3 linked regions of the Elephas maximus indicus genome follow. The protein of the gene in region 3 binds, or shares a complex with, the protein of the main gene of each other region. Links are inferred from orthologs where the notes say so. Each region holds a gene or a part of one and is shown on either strand. Other genes may lie near its edges.

Region 1 (9,057 bases), on a different chromosome or scaffold from region 3:
GTATGAGACCATTACCAAGTTAGAAGCTTAGCAACCAATGGTTGCCACAGTATCACCTTAGCCTGCCTGGGACTTCCCCACTGCCCACTCTACCCTCACCCCTAGCTGGCAGGGCTAGAAAGGCAGCAGGGACTGGTTGCTAGGCAACAGGAGTTTCCGAAGCAGTGAGTCAAGCGGGAGTCCCTGGGGACGGCACAGGCTGGGGGAGGAGGAGTAAGGAGGGAAAGAGAAGGGGGAGAAAGCAAACTTTTTCCTGGATCAAAATTCTTCCCAAGTTTCCGTGGCCAAACTCTGAGGGAACCTCTGAGTCACCTACCGCATGTTTCTGAAACTTAAGAGAAAAACACAGTGTAATGAGTGGAAGAAGGAAAAGCTTGAGAGGTCAAGGGGACCAAACGCTGCCTCTGAACCTGACCTCGACTCATGTCTTCCATCAAGGTACGCGATACCATCCAGGCATGGCCTTGAGGTCCAACATCAATCCTGTCCACTGCACACTGGAACCCACTGGGTTTAACCTACCCTAATCTTTTTTTTTTAATCAAAGCAACATCATGCCTGACATTTTCTGGGAAAAAAAAATCTCAATTTCATTTATCAGATCATGTCCGAAGTTTTGTCTCAAAAAATATGGTCACTTCCCCACCATCTCCCTCACTCCCACCCTAGCCACCAATCTCCACTCATCCTTCCCAAGGCCCCTTGTCCTTCTCTGAAAGCCATGATCCCTAATTGGTAACAGATCTCATCCCATGGGACTTTGGAGCAGGGACAGCGGGTTGGAGAATGGCTATATTCTCATGCTGCTGCAAACAGCCCAATCTCTCTCTGTATCGCCTCCCTGATCCAAACATGGGCAGCAAAGGATTAATCCATCCCTGTGGTTTGAAGCCAGTGGACTGTAAATGTCAGGCCTGAAAGCCAGCCCTCTGGCTCAGGAAAACCTCCCCCACACACACCCCGGCCTCAGCTACTCCCTCCCCATGACTCAACTTTATTTCCTCCCTCCCCCCCCTTACCCTCAGGGCACCCAAACTCTTTTTCCAGACCCCCATCTAGGAGCAGATGTGACCTTCAAGCCCATCCCAGCCTCAGTTAGAGTCCCTGCCAGAGGCAAGGCTGGAACAGGATGGGAGGCGAGAATGGGCTGGCTAAGATCTCACAGTTGGGCATTCCAAGCTTCTGGTGGCCCCTTTCCCTGCCTTCAGCCCCATCCACAGTCAGCTGTCGCCTCCCACACACGCACACCCTCAGTCACTCCACGCCCCTCCCCCATCTTCACTAGTCAGCTCCCCATAAAACTGCACTTCAACTACCAGCACTGCCCACCACCATCCCACAAACCCTTACCTCCCCTGGTATCCCCCTTAGCCCCCAGACCAGCAGGCTCTTGGTTTTCAAGAATCTTTATTGAATTTGCTCCGCATCATGCACATGCTTAGAGGAGCCGGGGTAAGTGACCACCCCCACTGCCTGCAGGGGAGACCCCAGCCAGCAGAGCCCCCGACCACATATGAGGAACATTCATTTCTTCCTGGGCTGCTTATCAGGGCAGCCTTCAAAGAACTCGTTACACATCATGGCAATGCAGGACAGGAAGACAGAGTACTCCTGGAAGTCCACCTCATTGTCCTTGTTGCTGTCCAAGTTGCTCATTAGCTTCTGAAACGCAGCTTCATCCGTTCTTTTCTGGAGGAAGAAGAGGCTACAGGTAAAAACTGAAGCCCAGTGGAAGAGCCAAGACTAGAACCAGGTTTCCACCTCAAACTCAGAGCTCCAAAGGCTTACATAGCCACTCTCTTAGGGGTCTCGGCCTTTGAAACTCCAACCCTCAGGGCTAAGCTACAACAGGAAGAGGATGTCCCTGGGATGAGGAAGAGTTTCCTGAGTACCTGGATGTTGTCACTTGAAAAATGGGGCCACAACATCTTCTCCCAGGGTTAAGAATCCAATTAGTTTTCCTGAGGGGTTTATGTTAATGGTGGTAGAATAATTTGGAAATGAATCAATGTCATTGAATTATACATGTGGAAATTGTTGAATTGGCTTTGTTTTGTTGTGTGTATTTTTCACTACAATTTAAAAAAATTCAATTAGGTAATGGTCATGAAAGCAATACATAAACTGTATAAAGTTTGATACAAATGGAAGCTGTTATCATTTGGGGGAAGGTCTGTAGGGGTATGAGGTGTCTCCATAACTGTATCTTCACATTCACAGGACAAATTGAAATTCAAAGATCGTCCATTCCTGGAGTAGTCGCAAGACTCAGGCAGTCTGTTCAAATCTCAGTTTTGTGCTCTAGATGCCTTGGGAAGTTATTTTAGCCTCTTTAAGCTTCAGTTTTCCTTCCAGTTAGGTTATATAGTCAGTGCAAAACATCGCATAGTATCTAGGCCATCATCTACCTGTTCAGCCTCAGTCTGCTTCCTGTCTGGGACTAGTCAGTGAGTGGGGGTGTTCACTGTGCTTCTGCGCCAGGCATCCAATGCGAGCTCTCTGCCCCATCTCCCACTGCCCCGTTCCATAGCTAATGGTCTACAAAAGACCCATGCCTTCCAGGGCCTTGTCCTTCCTGCGTGGGAACTCCCCATGGGGGCATCCTCCGAGGTGGCACCTACTCACCCCTAAGAAGCTGGGAAGCTCCCGGGTCAACAGCTCCTTTAGCTCTGACTTGTTGAGCTTGAACTTGTCACCCTCCTTGCCTGAGTACTTGTGGAAAGTGGACACCATCACATCCAGGGCATTCTCCAGAGGGTGTGCCATGGCAGCTGTCAGGATCTGGGGGAGAGGCACCCTTATCTACCCCACCCCCAGCTATGTGTCCACAGTGCCCCACCCCACTCCCCATCCCTCTAGGATCCCTTGGTGAGATACTACTTCCATGGTGGGAGGAGCCCAGGAAGGTGGGCTCAGCTTCTAGGGGTGGAGGTGGGCATGTGGAGCAGGAAATACATGCTTGGAGTAGCAAACATGTGCAGGGCCCACTGCACGGGCTCTGGAGATTCAGGCTGGGTCTCCCCAGGGCGGTGGCTCAACAACAACGCTTTTTCCACAGCTCAGTCAGTTCATTCACCCCCAAAGCCAGCCCACAGCCTCCAGCCCCAGCCCATTCTTTTTGCTCCCAGTGCTGGGCGCGGCCCCTGGAAGCCTGCCCAGGGGCCCATAGCAGGAAAAAACCAGCCGCCTTGTGCCTGGTGTGAGGCAGGGCAGGACAAAGTGGCACAGACAGGGATTAGGAGGAAGAAGGGGAGGCGCAGGGCTGCATGGCTCCTTGCAGGGCTCACATGACACCACCAGACAGAAACCCACAGTTGCTTTCAGCCTCCATTTGCCTTACCACACCTGACCATGCACACACAGTCTCATGCAACCCAGCAAACACAAGCTAGTGTGCCTTCACATGGTCACGCACACACCAAACACACTGCAGCGACAGTGTATGCAACTCCCAGCATCTCAGCCCCCCTCTGACCTTTCTGTGTGTTTGTTTTTCTGTCTTACAAACACACACATCCCACCCCAGAGCCTCCACATCAGGATCTTACATCTGGATCCATTTACCATATCTGGCCCCCACCCACTTCCCCTTCTCCTGCCCCAGAGCCTTGGTCTGACACCTCTTTCATGCCAGTCAGGCGACCACAACTCACCAGACCAAGCGACAGGAAACGCTGAGCAGAGAGAAAGGGCTGGGGAGAGAGAAAAATGGGGGAAGCTCAGCGGTCTGACCTATTTATACCCTGGCCAGGCCCTGCCCATGGCAGGGGATGGGGGAGAGTGGAGACAGCCCTCCTGCCGTGGGCCCATGTGGTAAGTGCCACGGCCCCTCAACCAGCCCAGCCTGGACACAACCTTCCAGCCCCCAGCAGGCACAGATGGGCAGTGGGTGAGCACAGAGGGCACAGACAAGGACCTCCATGGGTGGGCACCACCCAACATATAGAGCTCAGCCCTTAGGAAGCCGGAAGGAGGGGCCTAGCATGTGCAGAGACAGGGAAGGAGTAGTCACCCCAGGCAGTAGGAAAGCTAGGGTTGGTGGGCGACAGATGGGAAATTCCCCTGGATATATGGCTGCCCAGAAACCAAGGGAGGGGAGCCCTAGGCCTAGTGCTGCAAGGAATGTCCCAAATGGAGCTCTACCAGGTTGAATAAGGCGGGGGGTCGGAGAACCAGAGGTCAGGAAGGGGAATGGACTAACCCAAAGGAGGCTGTGGGAATGCCTGAGGAATGTTTGCAAAGAAAGGTCCTGGGTGAGGCAGTGACAGTGAGGAGTGGGGAGCCAGGCATGAGCGCACAGGGATAGACTGAAAGGGGCTGGGGCTTAGGGGTAGACTGTCAGGATGGGGAGTTTAGAGTTCCAGTGGGTGTCAGAAATGAAAAATCCAGGTTGGGGTGGAGAACTGGAGGTGAAATGGTTCAGAATGAGGGAGTCAGGGGTCAATGTTAAGGTCCCAGGGTTGGGTGTAAGCTCAGGGATAAAGTAGCTTTGGCCTCAGGGATAGGCTTTCCTCAAGGTATCCCTTCCCCCTCCAGCTCAGGCTGGGAGCAGACACCTCAGACACCCTAATCCTATTACTACTGCCTTCTGGGCCACCACAGCCCAGATTGGGAACAAACACCCCACCCACCCACCCCCAACAGCCCCTCCCCTCCTGCTCAGAATATCCTGACTGGGCAGAGTTCAGCAACATGGTCCCCAAGGAAGCTTAGGCTGCCCTCCTGCCCTCCATGAAAGCCCAAGGGGACCTCTCCCTCAAAAAGCCCAGAGAAAGAGAGGCTTTCTCAGGTCCTCCCAGGACTGGAGTCCTGTGTGTGACCCTGCCCCACCTACTGGAAACTTCAGCCCCTTTCATTTCTATGGGGTCTGAAACTACCTTCAGGGTCCTCTGGGAACTCAGGGCTCCTCCCCTCAGCCTCCTGTCCTCATTGGAAAAGACCAGAAAGGAGCAACAATCTCAGCAGAAGAACCAAACCAAGTCCAGCTGACACCAGTTCTTTATTAGGAGTTAATAGGCCCTTTCCCATCCATGGTCTCCTGTGTGCCCATACTCTGCTGAGCCTTAACTTCCTCAAAACAGACTCCCACCTCTTCCCACCCTGGCCCACAGGCCCCAGGTAGAAGGTGCAGCCCTCAGAGGGCAGGATGGAGCCAGTCGCTGCTCTACCCACCACCAGGTGTGCATCCTTGGCAAGGTCCCTCAGATCTCTGAGCTTCCTTGTAAAATGGGTCAACGTATCAGGGGTGAATCTGGGGGACTCTAGACTGAAAGAGGTACAGGCCAGAGGGCAGGGAGGGGTATGGTGACCTGCCCAGGACCACCTCAGGGGCAGAGGTGGGCCAGACCGCTGCACTCCAGGCTGGCCCATTCCTCTGGAGCAGAGGCTACTGGGAGCAGGGAGGATCCGAGGGGCAGTCCTTGAAGTACTCATGGCAGTAGAGACAGAGGCAGGCTAGTGAACGCACGTACTCAGCGAAGTCCACCTCACAGTCCTTGTCGGTGTCCAGAACACGCATGAATTTATTGTAGTCACACTCTCGAAACTCCATCTGTGCAAGGGAGGGGTGTAGGGGGCAAGATGAGGAGGGCCAAGCAGCTTCATACACTCCTGTCCTCCCTCCCTTCCTAGGTGCTCCCACCCCATCCCAATCCACGTCCCTTGGGAGGGCCAGCCTCAGCCTACCTGTTCTGATGATGAGCCCATTTCAATCCCCCTCCCAAAACCTCCTTCTCACATCATTTATTGAACACCTACTTTTTGCCACTGAGTGCCTGCTATGAGCCAGACATTTTTCACAGTGCTCTCGGGCAATACTTGCAACAACCCTGCAGGCTGCAGGTGTGATGATTGTTCTTCCATTTCACAGACTAGGAAACTGAGGTTCCTGCTGTGTCAGTCCCCTTGCTGTCACCTCCATGCGGTCTAGCCTCCACCCTTCCTGCTGTCCTATGCTCATACTTGTCCCCAGGTCTCTCTTTACAGAATCCAAGCAGTACCTCCTCACTGGATGGGGAAGGAGGATGGGCCCCGGGCTGCTCACCGGGGTCCAGGTGGGCATCTCGTTCTGCAGCAGCTCCTTGAGCTCCGCCTGGCAGAGCTTATGCTTATCCCCACAGCGCCCTGCATACTCCCCGAAGGTACACACGATGGTAGCCACCGCCTGCTCCAAGGGTCTGGTCATCCTCACTGTCACAGAACAAGGGTGTGACTCACGGCGGAGGTCCAGGCCAGCCTCCCTGCTCACCTTGCCCTCTGCATTCCCCAGACACTGCTCCCAGACCATCTTACTCTCCCCTAGGCTTTGGGCCACAAGCTACCCCCTCTCTGAGCAGCCCTCTCTGACCACACCAATCAAAAAAAAAAAAAACCAAACCCATTGCCATTGAGTCAATTCCAACTCATCCTATAAGACAGAGTAGAACTGCCCCATAAAGGGTTTGCAAGGAGCACCTGCTGGATTCGAACTTCTGACCTTTTGGTTAGCAGCTGAGTGCTTTAGCCACTGTGCCACCAGAGCTCCCTGACCACACCAGCCCCTCCTAATTCATCTCACTACTGCCCCCTGGGTGTTATTTTCCTGGGTGGGAGTCTCATTTCCCTCATTTCACTGAAAACCCCTCAAAGACAGAGTGTCTGTCTGACCCTTCCACCTTCCCTCCCCACCAAGAGAGTCCCTCAGGACTCTCTGGTTCTCTCCCACCTTTACTCAGTCCCCAACACCAAGGAAGGGCCCAGCCCCACTCCGTAGGTGCAGCCCATGGCCCTAGAAGTCTCCTCCCTCAGGACCCAGAGTTCCTTCCCTACGAACTCGCCCAAGGAGACCCTCAGCCAGCGCTGCCTTATCCTCAGGCCCTTACAGACGCTGGGCAGTAGAAGGACAGTCAAGTCTAGGAGGACCCCTGCCGCCTCACCACCACTCCTCTAGTGATCCCTCTTCCCTCAAACTGAAGGAGGCTGCATCCAAAGGGAAAACTTCTAGAATCCTCTCTACCTCTCTCCTAACTGTGACAATGGTGCATTTATCCTATCTGGATCTCAGGTGCCTTACCTATAAAATGGAATTAATCCCACCCCACGGCCTGGTCAGGGACTTGACCCAGATGGCCAGCTCCAGCATTTACCAACCCCTGACCCTCCCACCCGAGACCATCCCCTGACCCAGGGATCTTGAGATAGAAGGCCCTGTTAGAGGGGAAGCCATTCCTGGAATTGCCCACCTCCTCCAATTCCGGTGTCCCCACCCAGTACTCTCTGGGAGGAGGCTTCTAGCCCGGGGAACCTAAGGCAGCAGGAAGGCAAGAGTTGTTCCCATGTGAGCCTAATGACTCACCCCTGGCTCCCCCAGGGGACGGGAGTCCTGCAACGAAGAGCAGCAACCACCAAGGCTCTCTCCTTAATGATTCACCCTTTGTGGGCCCTGTGGAGCAAATGGCCCACGTGGCTGGTGGGTGGCGGGAAGGCTTGGGTGGTACCAAAAACTGCCCGGGCTCTAACTCTGACAGCCAAGGATTAGAACAGGGTGTCCAGGAGCCCAGGATAGGAAGGGGCCATGATCCTAGGGGCTAAGGGAAACTCAGAGGTGTTCAGCATGCCCTTCTGGGCCCCCGCCAGCCTGCCTGGCACCACCACTGTTGCCATTCCAGAAGCTGGGTGCCTGGAGACTGGCTGGGAATCCTCTCTTTCCTGTGCAGCCCTGGCCTGTCTCAACCCGTCCCCAGGAATGAAGCAGAGAAGCAAGGAGGAGGCAGAGGGAGCTCACTGAAGGTAACGCCCACATTTCTAGCCCATGCCCCTACCCAGAGCCAGATCCCAGCTCTGCACACCTCCTAGCCCAACTTCCTGACAGCCGCTCACTGCCAAAGGGAACCCCCCAGCCTACCATATCTGACTTCTCTCACCCTGTCAATCCCTGCCATGGTCATCCTTCTGCCCCCATGCCCAGACCTTGATCCAGGAGAGAGGCAGGCCATTGGGGGCCCCTGAGTTTCCCCAACACCCTACCCAAGGCAGGACCCAAGCAGCTGGCACTCACCACTGGGTTGACGTTTCAGTTGTAGGAGCCTAGAGACAGGGCATCCCTATTTGTAGCTTCCCAAGAGAGGAAGGGAGTAATTATGGGGTACTCAACTAGGTCAGCTTTGGGGATGCCCTAGGGGCTCCCCGCCTCCTTCCTCAGCAGCCTCTATTACAGCCCTAGCTGCCCACCTGTTCATGAACACATCAAAGGCCCAGTCTGGGGTCTCAGACAGTGCCCCGTGCCCTCCCCCAGAGTCAGGAGCTGGGTGCAGCCTCCTTTTCTTTTCCTTCCAACGTGGTTTGGAGGACATAGGTTGGGCTGGTCCGTACATCCATCCTCCTAGCTCTTCACTCTGAGGAGATACCCCAAGAATACAAAGTGGGGAAACAATTTTCCCTCACTGAGCTGGCTCTCCAGAGAATCCCCTTGCCAGAGCAAGGACTTTCAGGAGAACCTGGTTGAGCCCTTTCACTTATAGATGAGAAGGCCGAGACCTGAGATATCCTCCCTGCCTAATCCCTAGATCACTTTTTCGGTGCTTCATCATTTTCTTTCGAATATGAACTGCTCAGTTCCCTGGGGAAAATCTTTGTGGGATTTCTTTGAGGTGTAGGATGAAGTCATAAAGATGTGTTCCTCCTAGTGCAATTGCAGAAGCTTGGGCTTAAGTTTCTTGCCCTCCCTTGCCCCACTAAGTGATACAGATGAATCTGGGCTGCTGTGTGTCTAGAGTTACTCAGGGGCTGTTTCCTTTCCTCTTCTGCTCTGTTTAGCACCAAGGCAACTTTTCTTGCAGTCCCACAGGGGTCAGGTGGGGTTTCCTCTGACTTTTAGCTTAAACGTGTAGCTCTCTGGGGTCCCAGCATTATGGAGGGCCTCCCATTTGTCTCCCCTCCTCAGGTGAACCCGAGGTCATTCCTCTCTGGCAACCATCAAAGCCAAGTTCAGGTGCCTTGGTTTGGCTGGTGCCCTCAGGGCCTTGGTGCTCTGGTCACCTCCTGGACTTGGCTTCCACTTCAGAGTGTGGCCTACTCATT
Region 2 (9,567 bases), on a different chromosome or scaffold from region 3:
TCCCTCCCACCTCCAACCCTTTCCAAATGCTCTCCTTTCTGCCTGGAAAGCTTCCTCCTGCCTCTTCTTTATTTGCAAACCCTAGTTCCTCTTCTTCCTCCAAGTCTTAAACGCCCCCACCTTGGTACAGCCTTCCCTGACTTTCTACCTAGAACCTGTCCCCTTTGATTCCTCTATCAGTCATACCACTCATTTCAAATTACCAATTTTTTGTTTGTTTGCTTTATTATCCCCCTTCTTTGTACTTTGTCTTTTCCGTGAGAATGTGAGGCCCATGAAGGCAGAAATTTGATTGTTTTGGTCATTGCTCTATGCTTTGTTCCCAGAAAGTGCAGGAATTAGTAAGTGCTCAGTAAATATTTGATAAATTATTATCAGAATTTGAAGCTCACCTATAGAATAAAGCAGATGGTTTCCAACCCCAAGCTAAGAGCTCTCCCGTGCTTTAAAAAAAAAAAAAAAGGCTACAGTCCTTCAGCTTCTATTGCTCCAAGAGCTACGTTAGCACAAAAGGAACCTCAGTTCAGTCTTCCTCCCTCTTTCTCCCTGTCCCCTAGAGAGGACTCTGCTCCAAAATGTTCACCCATAAATCACACACCAGGGACTTGGACCACTGAACAGCCTGCCTTAAACTCCCTAAGGAATTAAGCTGAGTGAAGGAAGCACAGAGAAGGTGAGGGTCTACTTATTCTTAGCAAACTCCCTGCTGGGGCTCGCTAAATGCCTTCATGATCATTGGCTTGTCCAGTCTTTTCTGTTGCCCCAAGAGATAGCTGTCAATCCCCATTCTACCAATAAGGAGACTTGGGTTCACAGTGATGAAATGACTGGCCCAGAGTCATGTACCTGGTAAGTAGGAGAGTCACTCACTCCCTGCTTAACATTCCCAGTGGCTCCTTCTTACCTTCAGAAAAAAGCTCCAAGACTCAGCAGAGTATCTAAGGTGCCCCAGGACAGGTACCCCCTCAGGACTCATTTCCATCTAAGGCCCTAGGGGCTCTACACTGTCCCCGTGCAGAACTGAAGGCAAGTCCTGAAATAGACATGCTTCCCCACAATTCCATGGCAATGCTTTTTCCTCTCGGCCTCCACAAAAATCCTCCTTGTCCTCTAAGATCCACATAAAACAAAAAAGTTGACAACCCCTAACAAAAATCTATCCTAAGAAAATAAGCATTTGAGAAAATATATCTGCTCAAAAACAGTTACTTTATATACAATTATTCTGAAAGCAAAAAATTAGAAACAACCTAAACATTCAAAAATATGGAACACATTTAACAATTATAATATCTCCCTATTTATGTATACCAGTACAGACACCTTTGGGGTTTTGTTTGTTTGGATTTCCAGCAGAAAGTCTTGACCAAATACTTGTAAATCAGTGGTTGTAAACTGACATACCATGGATGACTACTGTGATTCCTTAACCCAAACCAAAAACCAAACCATTTGCCATCGAGTAGATTCTGACTCATGGCAACCTCACATACTACAGAGTAGAACTGCTCCACAGGATTTTCTTTCCTGTAACTTCACAGAAACAAATCACTAGGCCTTTCTTCCACAGTACCACTGGGTGGGTTCAAACCACCAAACTTTAGGCTGGCAGTCAAGTGTAAACCATTTGAACCATTTAGAGACCTGAAACCTTAATAAAAAACCAAAAAAACCACTAGGCCACCAGGGTTTCCGAAACCTTAATAAGGCATTTTAATTGATGGATAAAGTTTACTTTTGCTACAACTATGATTCACACTGTTAACATAGTGTCTGGGCAGGCAGAATGTTAAGCTAGGCTGCACATGGTTTCTGTGTGCTGCACGGTACAACTTGATACACATAAGGAAACAAAGAAACTATATGCATTCCCTAAGACCTGCAAGAACTTTGTCTCATGAGTATCAAAGACTGAGCGATCACAGCAACAACTGTTCTACTCAGTGATCAGTGCTATATAAACCAAAAAAACAAACCCAGTGCCGTGGAGTCGATTCTGACTCATAGCGACCCTATAGGACAGAGTAGAACTGCCCCCATAGAGTTTTCAAGGAGCACCTGGCAGATTTGAACTGCCGACACTTTGGTTAGCAGCCATAGCACTTAACCAGTACGCCACCAGGGTTTCCATCAGTACTATAGTATAGTTAATATACATGCAACTTAATCCTTTCAAATGTGCTGCCAAAAATGCTGGCACTCAAAAGAAGCCCACTGTTTGATAGGGCTATGTTGAAACAAATAAACTTCCAAATTTCAGTTTTCTTTTTTACCCATATAACTATTCCAAAGCTGGTTGGTCTTCCTGATCAGCAGGTGGTTTTCCTCCACACTGTGATTCAGGGACCCAGGCTCCTTCCAACTGTGGCTCTTCCACCCCTAGAGGCACCTGGCAATTGGAGAGAGAGTGCAGAAAAGTCACCGCTGTTGCTTTAGTTGGCAAGCGACACACATCACTTCCTATTCTGCATTTGGCCACCAAGTGACACACCACACTGTCCCATTCTGGTCACAGGATCCCACCTAGGTGCAAGAGGTGCTGGGAACGTAATCCTTGGCTGAGCAGCCACTTCTCAGAGACAACTCTACACTATAGAAGGAGGAACACACATTTCTGTTAGACAGCCCGCCCTCTCTGCCACAGCCACCAACCCCCCAAAAAACTGGAAACCACTGGGTAATGGGGTTTTGTTGTTATGTGACATGAAGAAGTGGGAAAGTACCCAGGAAAACAATCCCTCCTGCTCCCGGCGTTTAGTGCACTGGAACCTGCCAGAAGTCTGGTGGAGAACTTGAACGTCGCCTCCTCTTCATTCCAGAGACACACCGGCTTGAGCCTCTGTTTCGTTTCCTCTGATGGCCATTCATTCTGCTCCTCTCCTCACCTCATCCCTTCACCCCCTGCTACAGCACCAGCCTTCCTGGCAGCTTGGGTTCAGGCTCTGGTCCCTGACTTCATTGCACGCATGTGGTTTACAAGGCACAACTACTTTCTGAGAAAGACCTGCCTGGGACCACTTCTCCTAGAAAAGGATTATAGGCATGGCAGGCTTAGAGCTTTATGGAGCAACTGATCCATAAATCATTAACAAGCTACATGAGAGCAGGGATAGTGTCCAGCATGCTGACCTTTTTCCCTACTGTATCTTCAGCATTTAACACAGCGTTTCAGAAACCCAAGTTCCTTCCCTTTTGTGAAGCTGGATCCACTAGGGCCTCAGAGTCCTCAGATTTCAGCTGGCAGGCAGGAAAGAGAGACGAGAGAAGCCACATTGCAGGTGAAAAGTTACTTGTTGAATGAAAAAACATAAAGGAATGAGCAAATGTACACTCACATTCCTGATAGATATTTAATGACATAAAAAATAGTAAAGATAAAGTATCACATGATAAAAGTAAAATAATTTGATAATCAGTGTAATCACAAATTGTAAATATATGTATATATGCATAAGACTGGAAGGCGATACATAAAGATATTTATCTTTGGTTCATGGGTTTACAAATTATTTTTTTTTTATATATTGCTATATTTTCCAAATCTTCTATAATAAAAAAGTAATCTTTTTACAATCAGATTTAAAAATCACAGTGTCGTTGCTTCCAGGTGGCTCAAACAACATTGTTGTTGGTAGTAGCCGTCACGTAAATTGTGACTCATGGTGACCCCGTGTGTGCACAGTAGAACTGTGTTCCAGGGGGTTTTCAAGGCTGTGATTGTTCAGGAGCAGATCACCAGGCCTTTCTTCCAAGGCCCCTTTGGGTGGGTTTGAACTGCCAACCTTTCAGCTAGTAGCCAAGCACTTAACCATCTGTACCACCTAGGGACTCCTGCATTATTGTGATTTTTAAAACATCTGTCAAATGTTGCTTCCCAAAAAAAATCATCCTGTGACTACTCCAAGGTGATTTGGAAGCCCTTCCTTAATGTTCCCATGGCGTCCAGAACACATGCCTCTGCCATTCACTAATCACACTAGATTTTAATTGTTTGCTTATCTATCTCCCAGTAAGACTTGGAGCACTTGAGGAAAGGAACTGATTCTTTAATCTCTGAATCCCCAGAGCCTAGCACATGCAGTAAGCATTCCTTAAGGTTTACTGACCAAATGAAGAAATTAAATAAGTGAATTGTGGTTGTGTGCCATTCAGTAGATTACAACTCGTAGTGATCAATGTGACAGAGCAGAACAGGACTGCCCCATGGGGTTTCCTAGGCTGTAATCTTTACAGGAGCAGATGGCCAGGTCTCTTCTCCTCCTCGGAGCTGCTGGTGGGTTCAAAATGCCAACCTTTCCTTAGCATCAGAGAGCTTAACTACTGCACTACAGGGCTCCTAAATGAGTAAATCCAGTTGCATCTTTCCAGGGACAAAAGGGACCCAGGATCGTCTCCACTGTGACTGTAAACTGAGGCCTGATATGAATTTGGGAAGTACATGGGAAGATTCTGAAGAACTGCCCCTGAAAAGTCAGCACCAGTGCAGGCAAGAGCTGAATTCCAAGTTGGATTTTCCTGGCAACAGTCAAGCTTAGCCACGTGGTAGCACTTGGAGGATTCCCTGAGTCTGCTCATTCCTTTGGGATCACTCACTCCTTCAGGATCTCCCCTGGGAAAGAAGTGTGAAGGAAAATCCCAGGGTTTGGGACTCATTCCTTTTCTGCCAATTGTTGCTAGCAGTTTACATTAAACCCTAAACCACAACTAAAATTATTAATGTCTAAGGTGTCACGGAGGGTGGCAGGTAGAATCCGGTAACAAACACCTAGGTTTTCTTTAAATTTCTTCAAGAAATTTCTAAAGATTTTGAGGGCCCAGCAGGCAGGCCAATTACAGAACAAAAAGAAGGTTTTGAACCTTCGGTTTTAACAGTTTTTTTTTTTTAGCCCAACTGAAGCTGAGCTATTGACCAAGTGAAGCCACATAAGCCGTGAAGGGTAAATCCCTTGTTCAACAAAGGGTCTGAAAAACCTCTAGAGCTGACAAGCCAAACACTCCCCTCCCTCCAGCACCACAGCGAGTCAGGCGGTCGGGGAGGGCGGCTTCTTCTGTAAATGCACGCGGATCCGGACCACAGGCCGCGGAAAGCCAGGGCTGATATCCCAGAACCTAATTCTAGAACAACTAAGTCTGCAGCGAACGCCTTCGCGGTGGTTAAGATTTCACGTGCCCCTCCCTGCAATGTCGTCTAGAAAATGTAATCCCTAGACCTTTTTGCGGGGAGACCTGTAGGTTACCGGAGAAGAGCCGCTTGCTTACAGCTGAGCTGGGTCTGGGCCAGCGCGCCCCACCCGCAGAACGACTAGGCTTTTTGATTTTCACACTCACCCACTTTCTAAAACCAAACCCGACAGGAAGGGCACGGCCGAGGGTGGGGATGGCCTGAAATATTCAAGAGTCTGAATATTCCTACTTGAAGAGGACTTTCGATAATACATGCTCACTTGGGACGAGAGAATGGCAATAGTGAAGCTCTTCTGCAAAACGAGAGCAGGGTGTCTGGGAGGCGCCCGTGGGGGGAGGGGGTGGCGTGGGGGGGGTGTGCAGGAAGAGGAGGGAGGAGACAAGGGGTGGGGTGAGTGGCGGCTGGAGCACCAGGCCAAGGCTCCTCCTGCTCCCCGCGCGGGACTCGCGCCTCCGCCCTCTCCCCCCCCCCGCCCCCACGTACTAAGGCGCAGTGCCTGCAGCGCTGCCCTCACTGGCCCTGCGTCCCAGCTCGCTGAGCGTCCGTGCCACGCCTCCCGGCCAAGGTGAGTGCCGCCGGACCCGCGCACTGCCCGTCGGCCAGGCGGGCTGTCCCTCCTGCTGTCCCAGCCCTGGCGCCTAGGGAAAGCCCCCGAGCCTGCTGCTCTGCCTGCCGGACCTGGCTTTGCGGAGCCCCGGGCACCAAGCGCCTCGGCGGGGAGCCGCTGCTGGAGAATTCGCTGCTCCACGCGCCGGGCCACACCCAGGCGAGGCGAGAGCGCCCCTCCCCGGTCCCCGCGCGGCCGTCCCCAGACCCTCGCGGGCGGGTGTGGGGCGTGCGCTGTATTTTACTACGGGACATGGATGTTGGTGCCCCTGGGCTTTTGCTCGCTCATTCTTTTTAATTTGTCTTCGTTTACGCCCACCTTTCCTGCATTTCGTCTAGTCTCCCGAGTTACTCGAACCCCGGCTTCTGGCCCCCTTTCCCGGCCGGCGTGTGTGGTTTCGTTGTGGGCTCCGGCCGCAGGCGGACCTCTGTCCAAGTGTTCGTAGCCCCCTCCGGCTAGACGACCCGAGCAGGCTTGGGGAGGGCTGGGGCGGGTTGGCAGCTGGCGGATTCCCTTCCTAAAGGAGACACCAGCCCCTCACCCAAACAGAAGCTTCAGGTCGGGCTTCCTGTTGTTTGTCTACCAGACGGGGAGATTCTCACTGCTGCGAGAGGGAGGACTATTGGTTTTCTCTATAAAGCGGGTTTTCTGTTGCTGGTGTTTTTTGTTGTTGTTGGGGGGAGACTGTGAAGCGAATCTCGACTGAATTAAGTTTTCTCTTCTTGTCATCTTCATTAAATAAGTGGCCCTGGAAAGAGATGGGGGAAGAGTAGTTTTCATGAAAGGTCTCCCAACCCCAGCGCAGTGAGACGGAGATAGAGGCCGCAGGCCATTTGTACCTCCTTCACAACTTGAACTTGGCCAAAGGAATGGAGCTTCTTTCCAGCCCTGGATGCTGCATTTCCCAGCATCGATCTTGATCCGCCTAACTGAAACCCGGGGCTTACTGCCATGTCGGGTGGGGGTGATGAGGAAAGCGGAGCCCTAGCCAAAGCTGGAATACGTTAAACCCCCCACCCTTCCCTCTCCGGACCTCTCTTCCCTCCCACGGGGAGCTGGAAGCATTCTGCAGGGCGGGGTTACCACTGGGGACTCCAGGATTCTCCTAGTGGTGAGGGGTCTATGACTCAGCTGTGAGACCATGTGGGTGTGGCCCTGCTGGTTCCAGAGACTGCAGATGGTTTGGACAGAACACTGCCTGAAGGAAAAAGGAACTGTGCCATCTTAGAGGACTCTTCCAGGAGGAAGTGAGTCACACCAGCACTGACGGGCAAGCTGAAGGAGAGTGCCTTGACTGAACTGTATTTGAGGGCAGTAATTAGACCATGGCACTGGGTTGGGGGGTTGGGGCAAGGGGAGACTGCTGGCTAGGTGATGGGCCTGCATGCTGCCTGGCAGCCTCCCTCAGCTTTCCTTGGGAGGTGGCTTTTCCTTAAGAGGTTTGCAGTGGCTACCGATTTTTTTTCGCCCTGCAGCTTGAGCTTAAATCTCTAAGACTGGATTTCTGTATCCTGTGCTTAGAGGTGAGGCGACTCATGGAAGCACCCTGTCAGTGATCTTTGCCTTCAAAGTGTTTCAGCAAATTGCAAAAGATAATGCCAAAATAAATAAATAAATAATGCCAGCGGTTGAGGCAGAAATAATGAGTTCATATAACTTTTTTCTTTTTATAACTCATTAGAAATTTCTTCATCAGCGCCGCCCCCACAGATTCCTGTCTGGATCCTATTTAATCATTCCCTTCTCCTTGAGAGCTAGAGGCTAGTTTCTTCGTTACGGTCCTTGATCCACCATTCGAAGCATCTTATTTCAGTGTTTCGCATTTTTTTTGAGGGTCAACTGGGTATAAAGCAATTGTTTGGTCTCACCCTGATGTCTAGGTCATGCTTACCCCTGGCTTTTTCCTGGATACAACATGGGATAAGTCCTTTTCCTCCCATGTCTGGCCTGTGGCCAGCCTCTCAGGCTGCCACCACAGTGAGGTCAGGCCTTTAGGCTGGGTGGAGCTGAGACGGGGTGCCTTTCTGCTTTCCACTGACATATCCAAAAATGTGGCTTTTTTAGAGCACTACCCACTTGGTATGCCCCTTGGACCCAGCCCAGTCTTTTAAAATGTAATGATGAGGGAAACAATGGAACCCTTTCAGTGTTATAATGTCTAAATTAGCATTCAGAGTGCTGGGAACATTTGATTAAAATTTTAGGATCTTTAAGCTTCTCTTTTTCCCCAGAACATAATTTCGGAATTGCCATCAAAATCCAAAACAATGAATTTACTTATTTTTTTTAGCAATTTTCAGGCTTCCTGTCCCTTCACCAAATAGCTGTCACCTACCCCCACCAAAGGATGTAATAGAGTTTGTCACAATGGCTATTGTTGGCTGATTCAGGTGGATGCTGGATAACTCTTCAAGGAAAAATGGATGTACTCTGCTGGGGACAAGGAGGCTTCTGAGTTCTTTATTCCTGTTGGGTCACATCTGGAATTTATCCTTTGCTGCCCACTTCTTTGGTGGGAAAGTTTTATTTGGTAAGAGGTGAGGGAGACAGCCTAGATCCACACCCATTGCCTCAGCTCATTATTTTTCTGAATTCCCTTTAAGGGATCAAATTCAGTTTTCAAAAAAGAAAGAAAAAAAATTGTTTTCAGAATTCCCAAAGCAAAAGGAAGGAAATCTCAAATATATTTGAAATAATAGATCTTTGTTATCACTGCCAATTATTTTCTGGGTGGTCTGTAAGAAAACTAGGGTCTGGATGAGACACTGAAGAGCAAAGTAAATCAGGCCTTTTGCTCTTTACAAGTGTCCTCTTTGAAATTACGACTGGATCCGGGCATAGGTCCAGAGCAAACATTCGGGATTGCTCAGGAGCAGACAATTTTGTAAGGAGGCCTGTTGTTCCCCTGCTACTTCCAGGTTGGTCAGATCTTACATTGTCAATCTCATGCTTACCCACTTATTGAGGAGGCACTGTGAGGGCAGGACAGTAGCTACTGGGGTCCTGCTCAGGTAGCGCACAGACTAATGAGGAAACAAATGCAAATAACTGGAATTCAGGACAGACTTTTAAGAAGTATGCCATTAGCTAGTGAACTTCTCAGAGGCAAGAACCATGCGTGTGTCTATCTGTCTGTCTGTCCCTTAGTGCCTGACACCATGCCAAGACAGGCAAAGTAGGTGCTCTGTGTGGGAGAGCCAAAAAGGGAAACTGAATTCCCATTACAGGGACTAAATTTATGGAGTCTAGAATTCTCTTCCATAGAGAAAATTACCTCGAGAAGGACTGCAGCTTCCAGGCCTCCACTCTTAAGTCGCGTTGCCCACACAAACATATACAGGCCATATCCAAGCATCAGAACGAAATGATTTAATAAAAGGCGCATGAACAGTGAGATGGTTAATATCCCATGGAGATCACCGGTGAGATAGGCATGAAGTAGAAGGTGGGATGAATGAAACATGAGAAAACACCGAGAGTGAGAGAGGAGAGGAGTCATGGCAGGGTCTGACCAGACCTGTTTAGCAGGACACATTTTTTCCTTTGCCTGTGGAATGTGTTTTTCTCTGTGCTCTACTGTTCCATTCAGAAGTGAGCCCTTTTGCGGTTCCTTCCTGGCCCTTCCCAGCTCCCACGTGTTCTCGCTGAGCTCTGAGCTCCAAGGTTTTCAGCCCAGTCCTGGGTGATCAAACCTGGACTTAGCTCCTGCCAAGGGGTCATTTGATTCATTTATCCGCTCGTTTAGCAAACAGGTCTTTAGTGGTTAACGGATAAA
Region 3 (10,113 bases):
GGCCTTCACGTTTACAACTTAATTTCAGTGTTTTATGACCCACATATTGTATTTCCAACGGTCCCCCACTGCCTACGGAAAAGAAGGCAACTTCACATTCAAGATCTTCCACCCTGGATGTTGCCTACCTTTCTACCATTTTACCTCTACACACACACGCACACGCATACATACACACACACACACACACACGCACCACGCACCCAAGTCAGCTCAGGCTTAACTCTTCTTAAAGCAAACACAGCACTCTCCTGCTACCTTCAGGCCTGTGCCTGCCATGTTCCTGCCACCAGGAACACGGTATTTTGATTAGCTGATGTCCAAGGACGCTTCAGGATTCAGAAAGTAGTACTGCGTGTTCCCTTTGCTCATGCAGCCTCCTGCTCTGTGCCCCTGTCGCCCTGCGTATCTGTGAAAATGTCCTCTTTCGTACTACCTGTCTGCTGGGTGTGGGTCTTACACATCTGTTTGCTCATAGGTCTGAGCATAGTACCTGGCACAAGGCAGACGTTCAACTGAATTCTTCGGTGGTGTACACGCACTGGGCATTTCCATATTAGTGCCTCTTTTTTTTTTTTTTCTTTTCCAACACCCTCCTTCCTCCCTTCTTCCCTCCCTCAGACTGAGCATTGAAAAGGCAGCTCCAGTTACCTACATGCAGAGCTGGAGGTTGAAATTCCCAGCCTCTGTGCAAATCTTTGCAAAGCCTAGCAGATCCAGGCCAGCCTCTTTGTCACTGTGACATAAAGTCCATCCTTACCCCTAGCCCAGCACCCACCTCTGACGCTGTTTGGGTCCTGTCCGCAGGAAAAGGAGGAGATAGAACCTATTTCCCCTTTCCACACTGGAGGCAAGGCCATGGGGGGAGGAAGGGCTTACAAGTGTCCCTGGGACTCTGATTTCCTCTGAGCTGTGAGTGTGGAGGCTGGGAGTGGCAGGGAGAAAAAGGCTATGTCACAGCCCCTGCTTTCCCACCAGACTCAACCTGGGATTAGAACTCCGGCCACCTGGGTGCTACTGAGTTATGCTCTGACACGAACACACTGAGATGGCTTTAAACGCTTCCAGGTGTACCCTAGAAGGAAGATTCAGAGACAGTCTCTGTAGAGCCCCTCAGAAGCACAAGCCTGGGCGCCTGCTGGCCTGCCCTCTCTACAAAATAGATGGGGCCTGCCTCTGGCAATGGGGGAAGGAAAAATATACTAGACAGTGAATGGGCGGAAAGAATTTTTTTAAAGAGCTGGAATTTCCTCTGGTGTGGCCGACAACTAGAATAGGGTGTGGTACCAGGGAAAATGAAGGAAGTGGGTTCCCATGTGCAAAAAAAGAGAGGAACATTCCATTCCTACCTGATTCTCACAATCAAGTCTGGAAGGCAGGTGAGTCAAGATCACTTTAAACAGCAGTTCCCCGAGGCAGCCTATAGGAGATGCTCAGGTCTGCGGGACAGCTGTATTAAAAGGGCAGTGAGCCCCAGCCATGCTTGGAAACTCACATTAATTTAGGAAAACGGAGAGTTTAAAACCAGTACCCAGTCAATGCCGACTCATAGTGATCCTATAGGAAAGAGTAGAACTGACCCATAGAGTTTCCAAGGAGCACCTGGTGGATTCGAACTGCCGGCATTTTGGTTAGCAGCCGTAGCACTTAACCACTACACCAACAAGGTTTAAAACCACTGGGCAACTATAATGTCGTTACTTGCCATTGAGTCTGCTCTGACTCACGGTGACCTCATATATAACAGGACGGAACGCTGCCCAGTCCTGTGCAATCTTTGTGATTGTTGGTACAATTCACTTATTTCTCTTCCCGCTAGATTTAGGGTCTACAAGAGCAGGCGTTTTCTGTCTGTTTTGTTCACTGCTCAGCCCCCAGTGCCTGTAACTCAGTGACACGTACTAGGTGCTTATTAAATATTTTGTGGAATAAATGGGAGTTTTATAGCAGCCCTCCAGGGTCTGGGACTCTTCTGTTACACGCCCAGTCCTCCCTAAATAGAAAATGCCTCAGCAGGCAGAGCCCACACAAGCAAAGAGCTAAAACAAAGGCTTCTGATAGTGCTTTAGTACCAGATAGCAGGCCCATCATTGTAGGAAGTGCCCACAGCCCTCAAAATCAATACCAATTATAGAAGAATACCTACCTTGCAAGGAAAACTGCTTAAATCAGAAATTAAATTCAGTGGCCAGGAAACTAATGGCCTTGACTACAGGCTTAACGGCAGTCAATACAGTCCTTTTAAAGCTCAAAGACACAGGAAGTTAAATACCAAGACTCCAATCCCTGACCAAACTCCTGATCAAAGTCGGTAAGTCAGCAATATTTCCTGTACATTTGCTCCAGACAGGCAGGCCGCTTGGCACCTCAGGGAACTGCGAGACCATAAACCTCAACTAAAAAAATACACGTTTGTGGCCTCACCCTTCTACTCAGATGCGATAGGCACTTCTGGAGAAAACCTTGAAGCTTTTAGATAACAGATGGCCTGAGAAGGAAGGAAGCTAAGTGGGAAAGTCTCAGTGCCCTTGGCCTCTCCGGATCTGGCCCTCACCTCAAAGCTTCCTTCACAGTGTGTGAGCATTGTTGCTCCGGGATTCCACAGCCTCAGATTCTATAAATTACAGATGTGCTGGGGCACTGGGTCTGGGAGGGTTAACAAGGTTGTTTTGTGTTTTAAATAACACAACTCCTCTTGGGTTGCTGAAGATTTTAGGCCAACAACCATTCCTAACTTAATGAATATGGGTTCAATTTGCTAATCCCTAGCTATAACTGGTGGCGCAGTGGTTAAGAGCTCAGCTGCTAACCAAAAGGTCAGAAGGTGAAACCCACCAGACGCTCCTTGGAAACATGGGGCAGTTCTACTCTGTCCTATAGGGTCACTATGAGTCACAATCAACCCAATGGCAGCTACACAGCTGTAACTACACTGAAATGGGAGGGGGGGGGAACGACACAACTGAACAAGTCTGACAGTTGTCCTAACATGTCAGGAGACAGGGTCCTGTCTGAGGAGGTGGGAGGAAGATGGAGAAAAGACAGCAGAGAGAGGCCAAAGACAGAATTTTCCCATTGAAAATGATTTAATCATGGCCAACTTTGGAAGTAAGAAAAGTTCTGGAAAAATATTTCAGTGGTTGGTTCATTCTTCCTACCTACAGATCCTCCCTTATACCTACTCCCCCCTCCCCCCCCCAAAAAAATTTCAGGCATGCCCTATCAGACTTAGATAGCCTGCATGCAAAATAGGTTTTTCTGGGCTAGCCTGACCACGTCCTGTAACGCTGGGGAAGTGTGTTCTGCATTCCAAAGCACCAAGTCCCAGACAGCACACACTTCTGGACAGAATTCATCTGCACAGGCGGTCTGAGCTCAGAGGCCCAGGTTCCTGGACTCCTGGAGCTGGTTCTTGGTACAGACCCAGTGTGCACCCATGAGACCCACGCTTTTACACAGATCGAGCACCCGTAAAATCTTAATAACGCACCCATGTTGTTTGTTTGGAGACTTTGCATTTGTGTAGCGCTTAATGCTCTCATTGTCCTTTCCACATTTATTGTTTTGAAATCTTCAGTAAGCATCTTGTGGGAGTGGGGGAGCGGAGGAAAGAATGAACGCTCTCAAACCACTTTCACAGATGAGGAAACTGACGTTCGCCTCTGATCTTCTCCACGGTCAGTTGATGGAGCCCCATTCCAACACACCAGGACAGGGGGACCGCCTGGCAGCGCTGCAGGAGCGGCCTCGAGCCACGCCCTTCTCTGCACCCCCAGTCCCTGACTCACCGCGGCATCACTCAGAGTAACATTCAAGACAGCCCTCCCCACAGAAGCACGGGGACACTTCCTTCCGGATGCAACTATGTTCGACCCGGCTGATGTGACCCCAAGCAACGGGGAAACTCTCCAGAAACACTTAAATCAGAGGTTGCTATCCCACAAGATAATCTAGACAAAGGAGACCGAGCTGAGGTTTTGTTACTGTTGCTTCGGCTTTATTTCGGGAGGTGCGTGACTACTACAAACTCGCACCCGTCATCCTCCCCCACAGCTTCCCCACTGCTGGTGGGTTCAGGTTCCACGGATCCACGTTTATGTCAAGTGAAGTAACTCGGAACGCAATGTGGTTACTTTCTAGATGGCTACAAAGCTTTCGTTAAACGTGGGGAAAAGCGCCCACGGAGGACGGCTCTGCCAGGGTCCCGCGGCTCCCTCGGCGGCCACACCCTGTCCCCCCACCCCCGCCGGGCCTGCGGGGGCCCCCCTCCGCTCCCCTCCCTGGCGCGGCCTCGCCCCCGCTTCCTGCGAGGACTTGGGCGGGAGGTCGGATCCCTACCTCTCCTGCACCCCAGGCCCGGGTGCAGCTGGGCCCCCGGCACCCGCGCCCCACCCCGACCACCTGGCCCCTGCGCCCGCTCCTCGCACAGCCCCGTGCCGACCCGGACGGCTCCCGGGTCCCCTCGCCCGAGCCTCTCCTGGAGAGGCCGCGTCCTCGGTCCTGCCTTCCCGCCAGCGCGGCGGCCCCGGGGCCATAGCGGGCGGCGCGCCCCGCTTACCTGGGCCGGGCGCCGAGAGCTGCGAGTGTCCCCAGATGCGGAGCGGAGCCGGCCGTCCGGGTGGGGCTTTATACCCGCCACAGCCTCGGTCCGCGCGGCCCGCCCCGCCCCGTCCCCACCCGGCCGGGGTGACTCACCCTCCCCGGCTCAGGGCCAGCCTCGCCCTGCAACGTCCCGCGCCGCGCCCTGCACCCTGCCCTCCATGAAAGCCCCGCCGAGGCTCCTGGCGAGCTCCGGCCTCCTCCAGGCCCAGGATCTGCCAGTTTCTTCCTCCCTCCCCCTTTTACTGCTGGAGAGCCACGTCGAGCTCTCAGCCTGGCTGGGGCTAATAAATTAGCTTGTTAGAAGACTCTGGGGTTGCTTAAGTCACCTTTTTTTTTTTTTAAGGCGTCAATGCACTGGAGAAAAGAATTGTTCCAAGAAACAAATGTCGATTGCCCTGAGCTGGAGCCGTTGGCATCCAGATTCGCTTTACCGTCTGCAAACACATTGCTTAACCCCTGCCCCGCAGTTCCCGAGAGGGGCGCGAACGCGGGGAGGCGCTCCGCCCGGCCCTGCCCTGCAGAGCCTGGCCCACTTGGCCTCCGAGCCAGCACAGGGAGCCCGGAGCCAGAGGTAGGGGTTCCCGGGAGACCGCGGCCGGAGCCAACAGCCCACCCCATCCGCCCTAGAAGACTCTCCCAACCCTTCGCAGCGAACTGTGCTCAGCTGCTCCCCAGGAGTCCGGGAGCTTTCCTTGTCCAGCACCTCTGTGCGCTCTGAGCAAGACGTGCTGAGCTGGGTGGGGCCGGTGGTTTTGAACTCCAACAAAGAAGTTTCCTCCCCTCCTCCTTTTACTACCGCTGTTCTTTTCTAGCTGTTTAGCCCGCTGCCTCGGCTGGATTTTGCTGTTTTTCGCTTTTCTTTCTTTACTTTCAACGAACCACGTTGGCAACATGTGGGCAAACAAACGTTTCTGCGTGACCGAGCAAATACTGTAGTCAAACCTGAAATAGCAAGAACGCTTTGCTGAGTCCCAAAACCTTTGCTAGACCTTTCACTGCGCATTTGAATTCCTTCCTTTCATGCCCACTTCAAACAGCCCTTCCTCTTAGGACTTGATGCTTCTGTCTTAATTTCCCATCTATTTACACGTCCATTTTGACTTCCCAGTTGAGGGCCAGCTCACTCCTGGAATCAGAGAATGGGAGAAAGGCAGCCCTGCGCTCATATGGTGGAAGAAACCAAGGCCAGAAGGCATTCCTGCTTGCTGACCTGCTGACCGACACCCAGTGAGTCAGATGCTAAGTGGAACAAACACTTGGGGTATCTTGGCTCCCTTCCTGTTACCCAGTTCTATTACTAGGAATTACACATGATAGACCATAACTGAAGGACAAACAGAAAATAAATCAACACCTTGGATACAATTTCTGATCAACATTAATGGCTCATGTAGTCTGAAGGCAGAAACCATGTTTATCTTCCTACTCTGAGAACATTTTGGAACATAACACGCCAGTGGGAAAGAGCATGCATGACTCAGCCCCTTCTTTACTTCCAGAGCAAGCTCCACAGCCTGACTCCTAATTGTGCTGGGTTAGGTCCTCTGTGGGGGCTAAGAATTCAAATCATATGAAATATGTGAAAGTCACCAAGTACCCAAAAGATTTTTTTTTTCTTTGCTGGCCCTGGGCATCTGACAAATCCACACTTCTGTAGATCACTCAATAGCCAGGGTTTCCGTCATACTGAAGAACTTTGCACTGATGTTATCATAAAAAATAAAGCTATTGGAAGTCATGGTTTGCTATTTCTGAGGAATGTGAGGCCAGTTCTGCCAATATAAAAGAAACTTTGAGTCTCTTGGTCCAAAGATTCTTACCCCATGACTGGGAGGAGCGTTTACTGCGTCAGACCTCGGATTACGTCGGCCATTTTGTGTATTTTCTCTAGCAGATGAGCTTTGTTTTCACTCACATTTCATCTTCTGCACTTCAGCACTTCTGACAGTGCTTACCCAGCCTTGATACCACCAGTTGCCATCGGGTTGGTTCCGACTCATGATGGCCTCACATGTGTCAGAGTAGAACTGTGCTCCATAGGATTTTCAATAGGTGATTTTTTGGCAGTAGCTTGCCAGGCCTTTCTTGTGAGGCACCTGTGAGTGGACTTGAAGCTTCAGCCTTTGGGTTAGCAGCCTAACGCATTCACCATTTGCATCATCCATGTAACCATGTGCACTTCAGCTCTCATTGAGAGGCCCTCTCTACATATTGTAGAAAGATAAAATTACTCCCAGAGTAACAGAATGTTAGAGAGGAGCCCCAGGAATTAACCTGCCAATCTTTGATTTTTATAGAAGAAACTAGAATCCAAAATAGTCTCCTGCCCAGTCCAGAGATTAAATAATGCACCCAAGTGCCTTACATCAGTTACTTATTATAATGTAACCAATTATCCCCAAAACTTAGTGGTAAAAATATAAACAATCACTTATTTGTCACGATTCTACAATTTAGGCAGGAGTCAGCTTGTCTCTGCTTCACACAATGCTGGTTGGGGTGGCTCGTTTGGAGTTGGAAGATCGAAAGTGGCTTCACTCACTTGTCTCGTGCCTCCGCCGGGGCTGCTAGAGTGGCTGAGGGCTGGCCAGGCCTCTCTGTCTCCCTTGGTTTCTCATCCTCCAGGTCCTCTCTATATACCAGGGCAGTCATGGATTTCAACTGAGTTTTAAGAAGAGAAAACCGAAGCTCCCAGGCCACAGGTTGGATTTGGCCAGCGAGCTGCAGTTTGCTGTTGTTGTTGTTAGCCGCCATTGAGTCACACACCCACCCTCTCCCTGACTGATGGCAACCCATGCACAGCAGAATGAAGCGTTGCCTTGTCCTGCACCGTCGTTACCGTCACCGCCACCAGTCGTGGATTAGACCGTTGTGATCCATAGGCTTTTCATCAGCTGCTTTCCAGAAGCAGATCACCAGGCTCATCTCTGCTCCATGCAGCGTTGGCTAAGGAGACCCAACCGGGACTGCAAGATCCAAAAGGGCCATTCCCAAGCAGGGTGGTTTCTCGCTCACAAGAGAGTGAACATCGAAGATTCCAGGCCCAGAACTGAAACAGTGTCACTCCACTACATTCTACTGGTCAATGAAGTCACCAAACCAAGGGTCAAGGGGAGAGGAAATGGACTCATGGAGTGAACAACGTGTTTATATGGATGGAAGGAATTGTTGGCAACCAGTTTTGCAGATCATCTACCACAATCCTTAAACTAGTAAGTGACAGAGCTGGAACCAGAATTTATGTCTCTGCCTCTTGCTCTACTCCTTTCCCATTATTCCCTATTTCTCACTAAAGTGAGATCGTTGTGCTTCAGTGAGATACAGGCTGTCCTCGGGGTCTCTATATTGTATGGTTTAGACTCTCGATAACCATAAATTTGTAATTTCTTTGATTGTGTCATATGCGATCAGTATATTTGAAGATGGGCTAGGAATGGCTCTGTACTAATTGTGTCTTGCTCTCTGGGACCTAACATTCTTAAGTTCACAAATGAAGCAAACTTTCCACAGTATTTAATTTTACCCATTCACTTACTCTTTCAATAAATATGTGCAGTGCTAGGTACTGGGAATAATGTGTAGGACATATTGAGGTGCCTCAGAATTATTTATAAAGTGAATGAACTATTCTGAAAATATGTTTTGTTGTTTGCATTTTTCAAAAGGATGCCACACTCATGAAAAGCATATGTGCTCCATTAGTTAGTGGAATCCTTATAACATTTAAAAAAAAAAAAGCTGCCTACAAGTCAACTTTGACTCATGGCAACCCCATGTGTGTCAGTGTAGACCTGTGCTCTGTAGGGTTTTCAGTGGCTGATTTTTCTAAAGTAGATCACCAGGCTTTTCTTCCAAGGTGCCTCTGGGTGGCCTTGAAGCACCAGCCTTTCAGTAAGCAGCCAAGCACCTTAACTACTTGCACTACCCAGGGACTCCTTACAGTACTTGAGCTCCTTGAAAAGAGAAGCCACGCCCGTTTACTTTTGAAATGACCCCTCATTTCCCATAAGAATGCTGAACTCTGTAGGTCCTTAGTAACTATTTATAGAAATTCATAATAACTAAGAATAGAAACACTTACATAGTGGCTTTCCCAAATGTGAAATCAAAGCTCCACACTTTTCTTCCTTCTTGAATTTCAGACTAAGCTTAAATAGCATGTCTGGTTCACAGAATCTTGCTCCTAACAGAATCACTTATTAGTATAATTTCTTAGAAGACTGTGATTTGAAAACTAAACATACATCTACCCTATGACTCAGTAATTCATCTCCTAAGTATTTACCCAATGAAAACATATGTCCACAAAAAAGACTTATACAAAAATACTTCAAAGCAACTTTAAAAATAATTAAATTTGGTTACAGGCCCGGTACCCATCAACAGGAGAATGGATAAGCAAACAGATATATTGACAGAATGGAATACTCTCAGCAACAAAGAGCTAAACAGTACTGTATACTCAACAACGTGGATGGGTCTCAGAAATATTATGCAGAGTGAAAGAAGCCGTACACACAAGAGTACATACTGTATGATTTCATCTGTATGAAGATGTCAAATAGGGAAAACTAATCCATACTGGGAAAAAAGTTGGAATGATTGCCTCTGGGCATGAAATAGAGGTGGGAATTGACTGGGACAGGGCGAAGAAACTTACCAAGATGATGGTAATGCTCTGAACCTTGCTAGGGGTCTGGGTAATAAAAAACCAAAGTCTGGGTGATTAAAAAAAAAAAAAAGAGGTATATATATTTGTCAAAACTCACCAAATGGCACACTTAAGATGTGTGCATGCTGCTGTATGTAAGCTTGTGCTCAAAAGACAAAAAAGGTTTATAAACAAATACTGAACCCTAGTTTAGGATATGAATGTCTAAGAGTTTAGTGTTGAATTGTACTGATGCCCGTGATTTACTTTGAAATGAATCAATAAAAAAGGACAACTAATGCATGTATTCTGTATGTACCACAGGCACCCCTTCATGTTGTGAGAAGGGAGGACTGCAGGACTGTTTCCCCAGGACAAAGAGAAAAAGAAAAGTCATTATAGTGACAACATCTTCGACACTGAAGAACAGATGGGCAAGTGACAAGTGGCTTAGCAGACCTCAGAATCTGGAGACTAATCTAGCAGTGGGGGATGCCAGGAAGCATGTTATTTTGTGTCACAGAACCCCAGAAAGTTGCCACCAAATGTGAGGGTGGGGGTGGGGCTGAAAATAGGGGCATTGGTTGAAAGTCTATATAAGAACCACCTCATCTGAGAGACCCTCTCCTTTATCACTCGGTCCAGCAACTGCCCCCTCACCCACCCCAGCCACATGATGGACGTTTACCCTGTAGCAAGGCTGGCACAGAAAGACTATGGACAAAATCAAACCCACTGCCCTCAAGTTGATTCTGACTCATAGTGACCCTACAGGACAGAGTGGAACTGCCCCATAGGGTTTCCAAGGCTTTAACCTTTACAGGGGCAGATTGCACATCTTTCTCCTGTGGAACAGTGGG

Evidence for each region.
Region 1: the proteins of ANXA2 (region 3) and S100A4 are in contact, whole or in part, in a crystal structure (PDB 5LPU), measured with the Homo sapiens proteins. The link is inferred for Elephas maximus indicus from reciprocal best matches to the Homo sapiens genes ANXA2 and S100A4. Residues at the interface, in NP_001002857.1 of Homo sapiens: Leu13, Glu14, Pro21, Ser22, Ala23, Tyr24, Ser26, Val27, Lys28, Tyr30, Thr31, Asn32, Phe33, Glu36, Arg37, Leu40, Thr44, Gln69, Asp70, Phe73, Arg77, Arg78; in NP_002952.1 of Homo sapiens: Lys35, Leu38, Pro43, Ser44, Phe45, Leu46, Gly47, Lys48, Arg49, Thr50, Asp51, Ala54, Phe55, Lys57, Leu58, Asn61, Leu62, Gln73, Phe78, Cys81, Ile82, Met84, Met85, Glu88, Phe89, Phe93.
Region 2: the proteins of ANXA2 (region 3) and S100A10 are in contact, whole or in part, in a crystal structure (PDB 4FTG), measured with the Homo sapiens proteins. The link is inferred for Elephas maximus indicus from reciprocal best matches to the Homo sapiens genes ANXA2 and S100A10. Residues at the interface, in NP_001002857.1 of Homo sapiens: Val4, Glu6, Ile7, Leu8, Lys10, Leu11, Ser12, Leu13; in NP_002957.1 of Homo sapiens: Phe39, Gly41, Phe42, Asn45, Gln46, Ala51, Lys54, Ile55, Leu79, Ala82, Cys83, Tyr86, Phe87, Met91.

What each region holds. Positions count from the first base shown.
Region 1 is NC_064821.1:191,398,079-191,407,135, forward strand, and holds S100A4 (protein S100-A4), read right to left. Parts: upstream 3,743-9,057; 5' UTR 3,654-3,742; intron 2,782-3,653; 5' UTR 2,767-2,781; coding exon 2,626-2,766; intron 1,690-2,625; coding exon 1,525-1,689; 3' UTR 1,391-1,524; downstream 1-1,390. Other genes in the region: S100A3 (protein S100-A3), read right to left, coding at 5,387-5,551, 6,044-6,184. UniProt on the Homo sapiens protein: Calcium-binding protein that plays a role in various cellular processes including motility, angiogenesis, cell differentiation, apoptosis, and autophagy.
Region 2 is NC_064821.1:186,188,573-186,198,139, reverse strand, and holds the start of S100A10 (protein S100-A10), read left to right. Parts: upstream 1-5,641; 5' UTR 5,642-5,750; intron 5,751-5,784; exon of another isoform or gene 5,785-5,956; intron 5,957-9,567. UniProt on the Homo sapiens protein: Because S100A10 induces the dimerization of ANXA2/p36, it may function as a regulator of protein phosphorylation in that the ANXA2 monomer is the preferred target (in vitro) of tyrosine-specific kinase.
Region 3 is NC_064831.1:50,492,916-50,503,028, forward strand, and holds the start of ANXA2 (annexin A2), read right to left. Parts: upstream 4,666-10,113; 5' UTR 4,559-4,665; intron 1-4,558. UniProt on the Homo sapiens protein: Calcium-regulated membrane-binding protein whose affinity for calcium is greatly enhanced by anionic phospholipids. It binds two calcium ions with high affinity. May be involved in heat-stress response.